Linked DNA regions of Arabidopsis thaliana. The protein of the gene in region 1 interacts with the protein of each later gene in a pairwise test. Each region holds a gene or a part of one and is shown in the gene's direction. Other genes may lie near its edges.

Region 1 (4,192 bases):
AGTTCTTTTACGAGTAATCTATCTTCTTTTCTTGTGTAATATCAAATTTATTGTTCAACCAAAAAGAATAATTTGTACAAGAGTTTTAATTTTAATTAAAGTGGAAAGAGAAATGGATAGTGATTGCTATTATGAAAAATCTTTCTAGGAGGCAACATGTCACATCTTTGTTGTTGTTGATATAATCAAATAATAGAAAAGGTAATCACATCTTTGTCCTTTTGTACCAGAATTTTAGACATTAGTTTAGCTATGCAAACCAATTTCGTTCTTTTAGCTCCAAACTAAAGACACATTTTCATTGATGCATTCTTCGATATCGAATTGATTTGTTTATCAAAAGTTTATGAAAATCATTTATATTGCTATATTGTATTTAAGCTTCGAGTAAAGAGATATTTTACCAACTAGGCTTCCTATTAAAAAAATTCCAAATCTATCACATAATACACAGTTTCTATGCAATGAGGATGATGCGATATACATCACATGACTCGCCTCACACGATGTCTTTCGCCGTAGACTACAGATTTCTTCCGTTTAATCTTTTATCCAATTATGAATTATCTGGTAGGGTACTTTATATTTTGAAAATCTCTTTCGTGAGAATATGATAGTAATTGTATACTTTCTTACAAAATTTATTGAGAAGCGTACTTTATATATGATGTTTCTCACTCGAATTAAATACGTTAGTTTAATGGGTCGATTCAGATTTATAATAGATTTAAATATTTCGAAGAAAACGCAAATCAGGGATTTTGGTTGTATCATGTGTGAGAGATTGAATTTCTCCAGAAGCACTCATTAAATCGCGTGTGTAAGGAGTTGCCATACAGCGTCGTATGTAATGTCTTAGTCACTGTTCTAGAATTAAAACATATGTCAAATGTAGAATTAAAAAACAGGGGTTAAAATGTTAAATTATTCGGAGAAGTGGAATTATTATATTAAAAACATTGTGTGATTTTGGGATAAAATCTGAATCATGTTTTTTATTGTGCCAAAAAATTTCTGTTTCAACCTCTTCGTGGAGATGAAAGAAAAGTCAATCGGGAATGAGACTTCTTGTATAACGAATGAAAATATGAACATGTTGATTAATGAATTAATTAACATACGTACTATATTAAGTGGGAATATTAGGTATAGGCCTTCGATTTTCCGTTTTGTTTGGTTTTTTCGATTTTAATAATATTTCTCTAAATTAAAATAAATTTTAGTTTGGTTTATTTAAAATATTAATAAAATAATATAAATAACTATCTAATTAATATATTAAAAAGTATTTTCTATATATATTGATATAAATATTATTCCCATGTTTTATATTGGGTGACGTTATCTTTTAAGTAAAGTTGTAAGATATCTAACTTATTCCTACATTATAATAACTATCAAAATAAAATAACTAATTGTAGTGACAATGATGACTATCAAAATATGTATGTGTTTTGGCTCAAACATAGCGTTTAATAACAAACACAATGGACAATTTTAATAAATTTGATCGATTAGATTTTGTTTCATTTTCATGCACTAGATTAAGGTTCGAATTAGATTCATTTTAGTGTATATAGTGAAACTAATTTGTTACTATATGGAAAAAAAAATAAGTTTATTTTTGGTTCAAGAATTTTTATTCGGTACGGTTTGGTGTGTATGTCCAACCCTGAAAAAAAAACTTGAAAAACTAATAACCTAATAACAACTAATTTTCTTAGAAATACAAATTGGACTTGAATACAAAAATGGAAAGAACAACAACAAATCAATAACTAAAACATCGTTGAACTTGCATCTGCCAAATAAAAATCAATAAATCCCATTATTCTAAAAAGATAGTAGGTTTAGAAAAATTGAATAAATGGAAAAAAAAAATTGTTAGGATCTACGAATGAGAACAAAGTTAGCCTTCAAAATACTTACAAATCCCAATAAAAGACTTCATCTCCATGTGTATTTGAGTGTCAACGACAAGTCTACACAAAGGGTAAGAGGTCAACAAGACCACACAACACTTCTTACTATTAGTTTTGCAAAGGCCGTTCGTTGGACATTTCCTTCTCTCTCCTCCCCTCTTCTTCTTCTTGTTCGCTCTATAAACTCTCATCTCTCACGTCTTTTTTTCCTTACATTCTCCAAACTCAAAATTTCATCACATTAATTTCTCTCTATTTTTCTTTTCTTACTTCAATAGTAATGGATAACACTGACCGTCGTCGCCGTCGTAAGCAACACAAAATCGCCCTCCATGACTCTGAAGGTACCTCTCTATTCTCTATATATTTTCTATTTCCTAAATCCAATTTTATTAAACATCTTGAAAATAAATTTAGTTCCTAGCTAGGATCATATTCTCTTTGTATATATTCGTTAAAACGAGGGATACGTTTAATTACTTCTAAATTAGTTACACCTCGTGCTGACTAAAAGACTTATCAAGATTAGTTTCTAGTTTTAACAAAAATTAATATCTTTTTAAAAAGTTTATATTTGTCTTTTTTTGTTAGTTTAATATTGTTTTGAGTTTAATTGGTTTAATATTGTTATTTGCAGAAGTGAGCAGTATCGAATGGGAGTTTATCAACATGACTGAACAAGAAGAAGATCTCATCTTTCGAATGTACAGACTTGTCGGTGATAGGTAACAATTTCTTCTTCTTCTACTTTTTCTAAGATTATCCCAGCATAAAATAAATTTTATATTTTAGACATGTCTAGCTAAAACAATTTAATATGCAGGTATATACAATTTTACATACGTTAATTTAAGCATATGTACTTTATAACATATGTACAGTGTACCATGTTGTAGGGGAAGCACATGGTGTCCACTAATTTTCTAAAAAAAGACATTTAATTAAAGCTATCACGTTCATTAAATTATATATGTACACACATATATATAGAGATAAAAATAAGAACCTAATTTACTATTCTTATCAGTACGTACTCATGTATATAAATGCTTGGCTGGCTCAAAAATGGAAATTTTTGAACTGACAAATTATATTTTATTATGAAAATATAAATGCTAATGCTTGGGATAAAAATGTTTTTTTTTTTCTTTTGAATTAGGTGGGATTTGATAGCAGGAAGAGTTCCTGGAAGACAACCAGAGGAGATAGAGAGATATTGGATAATGAGAAACAGTGAAGGCTTTGCTGATAAACGACGCCAGCTTCACTCATCTTCCCACAAACATACCAAGCCTCACCGTCCTCGCTTTTCTATCTATCCTTCCTAGTGTTTTTGTTTTTAAGCCAACGAAAAAAGAAAATAAAAAAATTATAATAGATGTATAGTAGTGGTTCTTGTTAGTTTGAAGAATTCATCATCTATTGTTTTCTTTTTGTTGTTATTTCATTTATAATTTTTATAGTATAGGTTTCATTTGGTAATCAACTTTAATCCATGCGGTTAGGTTTTTTTATTTTCTCGTCTACGACTTTTATATCCACAACTAGATTTTAATCCGCGGTATATCGCGGTATAATTTACTTTTTAAAGTTAATATATATTAAAACTTGCAAATTTTATTTTTATAAAATATTTTTATTTTACAGTTTATAATTGTTATTAAGTAACGCTATACAACGAATCCATGAGACAATTGTTAAAAAACTGAAGTTTTAACCCTTACTAAAACAGCATATTAATAATATTTTAAAAATTTATAAATATTGATTCAAATACATCCACCATATAACTCAATTCCAAAATAAAATCTGTTCTGTAATTTCTTTACCCATCCCGTGATTTATTTTTAAAGTAGTAATTTTAAAAATTTGAGAATTATTTATTACATATAAAAGTTTTACAAATTGTATCATTCTCTAATACATTTATATTTTATAGTTTAATTTTATATATAGTAACATTTTATATTTTATATTCTCTAATATATTTTATATTCTCTAATACATCAGTAATTAGAAAGTAAAAAAAATTGTGTATTAGATTTAGTCCTTTGAAAGAACTTATCAAGAGGAAACTGATCATTTGTGCAAAAATGGTTGGGTAATATTTTAACTAATGACAATAATTTTAAATAGTAAAAAAAAAAAAAGAAATACTCCATTAGTTATAGTTGACTAGTATATTTTGAAGAAACTACTTAAAAAAATTATTACAGAATTAATGACATAATGTATCTATACTTTAAAAAAAATGTAACTAAAATAAAAAC
Region 2 (3,533 bases), 6.0 Mb from region 1:
GGAGGAAGATGATATGTCCCTTAACCCATGAACCTTATTATGGTAGAGCCTTATCCATCAATGGGGTTTTGTATTACTTTGCTAGGACATCGTGTTTTCTAGTAGTTTCCTTTAATGTTAGGTCTGAGAAATTCAAGTTTCTTGATGGAAAAGACTTCTCTAATTTTCATAGAGAATTTATAAACTACAAGGGTAAATTAGGTGTGACTAAATTGGAGTGTGATGCTGGTGATGGACATCCCCGTGAGTTGTGTGTGTGGGTTCTAGAGGATGTTGAGAAACAGGAATGGTCACAGTATATCTACTCCTTGCCGAAGATTAAGGTCAATCGGATTAGAAACGACAATATTTTCGCAATGTTTTTGCCTTTGACTATATAGAGGATCTTAGTATTGACGATTCGAAGCAACTCAAGTCAAAACCACAACAACGTCGACATGTAAAGAACAAGCAGGCAATCCTCCTGCAGAACAAGTACGATTTACTAGGTAACTCAGAGTGAGGATCTTATCTTGAAAGCCAAGCCAACGAGTCAAGCTATTTTGGTTAAGAGTGTTACTTGTCATTTACAGGTTACTTACGTGTGAGCTTTATCACCCTGTTGGCGTAGAGTGAGAGCAAACTAATATTTTTTTGTATGGTTATCAAAAGGCCTATGAGGTTTTACCTAGGTGAAGAGGGCTCTCTATATCCAATAACTTGATTGTTAAGAAACCGATGTGGTCAATGATTGAATAGTTGAATTGTCAGAATTGATGTTAAAACAAGAAAGTCATGTGATATGAATACCACTGTAGATTGATTAGAGATTTGTAGTTCATTTTCTGTTGAGATCTTATGAACAAAGATTTATGCTTTATTAAAACTAAACGAACACATCAAATATGCAAAAGAATTGGACACTTAGCTTCTTAAATTTGTTTTCTCTCAACCTTTTCAAGGTCTCATTCATAGGTCTGTTTATGCTTCTTCTGTTCTTCTTGATGAGATGCTTTCCTCTAGTACTAATTAAGTCCATCACGTAATATTTTTTTTTTTTTCTAACAACACTAAAAAAAAATTAAAGATAATATAAATTTGGATGGTTATAAAAGCCCATATGTTTCTTGGGTTTCAAAAGGTTAAATTTCAAAATCACCACCCTTCCCCTAACAGAATCTAATTACATAGGTCGAACTTTTAGCAAAATACGACGAAAATGAAGAATTACGCATGATTGCTATATGTGTCAATCCGACACTTCTATAAAATATTATATGCTTTAATTACTTTTTTCTAAATGTGTAATTTTACATGTATATATATTAAACCAAGCTTAATATAATAAAATATTTAAAAGATTTTAGATAGAAGTCATTTTCAAAAAGTGGTGGTACGGTATTAGAAAATGGACATTTTGAAATTTCTCCAAACGTTTACTATTTAAGATGAATAAATTATTAAAAAATGATTTAATTCATTCAACTCAAAATTGAAAAAAATTGACCAAATTATAAAAGTAGTTTGTTCAATTTATTTATCTACTATTTTGCAGAAAAATAAGTTGAAAGTTATTTTAAATTTCCAAAAAAAAAAACACAAATTTGTTTCCTAGCCATTGAGAGAAAGAAAAATCTCAATTATTCCCAGTCATTCATTTACACACAACCATTTTCCACCCCAAAAATTCAACCAAGTTCTCATAAATTTTAGATAGGTTTTAAAAAATAAGTTGAAAGATATTTGAAATTTCCACACAACAAAAAAAAAACAATTTGTTTCCTAGCCATTGAAAGAAAAGAAAAACTCAATTAATCCCAATCATTCATTTACAAAGCCATTTTTCACCCTAAGACTTCAACCAACTTCTAATAAATCTTAGACAGGCTTTAAAAAATAAGTTATTTAGATTTCGTTCTAAGTAGTTCAATAATTTTATAGGTGAAAAAATAGATCGTGTTTTTAAATAATAAATAAAGTTATATAAATACACGTTTTAGCTGCATGATTGTTAGATGCTTTTATATTGGTTTGACCCAAATGAAGAAACCATGGTCCACAATTGTCCCCCTACTAGTCTATATGAACACCTCTTCTCACCACACACACCAAACATTCATCACAATTCCCTAAATCCTACAATCTTTCTTTTCTTCCATCACCTAAGAGTAAACCCTACCTTGCGTCCCAAGTCTCCACCGATAATGCAACCATCCACCAACATTTTTAGCCTCCATGGTTGTCCACCTTCGTACCTTTCCCATATTCCTACATCCTCACCATTTTGCGGACAAAACCCTAATCCATTCTTCAGCTTCGAAACTGGCGTGAACACTTCACAGTTCATGAGTTTGATCAGCAGCAACAACTCGACCTCAGATGAAGCAGAAGAGAATCATAAGGAGATAATAAATGAGAGGAAGCAAAAGAGGAAGATATCTAACAGAGAATCGGCAAGAAGATCGCGTATGAGGAAGCAGAGACAAGTGGATGAGCTTTGGTCACAGGTGATGTGGCTTAGGGATGAGAATCATCAGCTGCTTCGTAAGCTTAACTGCGTTTTAGAGTCTCAAGAGAAGGTTATTGAAGAGAATGTTCAGCTCAAAGAGGAAACCACTGAGCTTAAGCAAATGATTAGTGATATGCAGCTTCAGAATCAGAGTCCTTTCTCTTGCATCAGAGACGACGACGACGTTGTATAGATGATTTTTATTTTTATTTTTTTGGGGCTCTAGTATGTATCAACAAATGTATATCCAGAGATCTGTCTCAGCTTAAGATTTAATTAAGACTCTAAATTAGTAATTGTTAAAGCAGAGTTCTTCAAACTTGTGTTGCCCGTGAATAGAAGTAAGAAATTGTTTCACAATTGTTTGCATAACAAACGATAAAAATTCACATTGCTGAAGTATAATTTTAAAAAAAATTACATGCATAAATATTTTTGCAAAATGTAAATACAAGCATCAATTACTAACAGTAGACTTTCTTCTTTTTCTCTTTAAAATTTTACGTTTATAATGACCAATTTTGTTCTTTCTAAATTGGCTTAAGTAGTGTCTTTGAAAAAAATATACACCAGCCGTAAACGGTTTATTTTCTTCCATTTCCATTTGCATTTTTATGTTGAAAAATTATTAAGAAAAGAATTAAGATTGTGATTAAAATAATAAGAATATGAAAAGCAAATACGTAAATCTAACGCAAACAAAAACAATTAAGACCTTACATGGTTGTGTACTTGTGTGTGAAACTCTCGTAAATCTAATTATGTCAAGCAAAGAAGAGCTTTTATCTGTAGTATTTTAGTACCTTGTATTTTATTTTATTTTAGTACCTTGTATTGGTAGTGCATGGACTGAGGTTTTGCAAGATTTGGCTTAGAAAGCAGTTAATGCTATTTTTTAAAAACCTAAATTACACTATTGATTATTGGTAAATCTGTTCAGCGGCATAAGTAAACCTATAACTTGGATAAAATGTTAAATCAAGCTTACATCAATCTCAGACAAGAAGACAAACAAACAATCTTACGTAAAAGGAGACCCCTTTCC

Evidence for each region.
Region 2: the proteins of TRY (region 1) and bZIP43 interact in binary tests that used the Arabidopsis thaliana proteins (3 or more experiments, as listed by UniProt).

The regions. Positions count from the first base shown.
Region 1 is NC_003076.8:21,580,711-21,584,902, forward strand, and holds TRY (Homeodomain-like superfamily protein), read left to right. Parts: upstream 1-1,903; 5' UTR 1,904-2,202; coding exon 2,203-2,266; intron 2,267-2,559; coding exon 2,560-2,647; intron 2,648-3,081; coding exon 3,082-3,250; 3' UTR 3,251-3,533; downstream 3,534-4,192. UniProt on the Arabidopsis thaliana protein: Transcription factor. Involved in epidermal cell fate specification. Negative regulator of trichome development, including endoreplication, by lateral inhibition involving intercellular interactions.
Region 2 is NC_003076.8:15,537,453-15,540,985, reverse strand, and holds bZIP43 (basic leucine-zipper 43), read left to right. Parts: upstream 1-2,096; 5' UTR 2,097-2,183; coding exon 2,184-2,681; 3' UTR 2,682-2,845; downstream 2,846-3,533. Other genes in the region: AT5G38810 (F-box and associated interaction domains-containing protein), read left to right, coding at 1-380. UniProt on the Arabidopsis thaliana protein: Probable transcription factor involved in somatic embryogenesis. Acts as a positive regulator of BHLH109.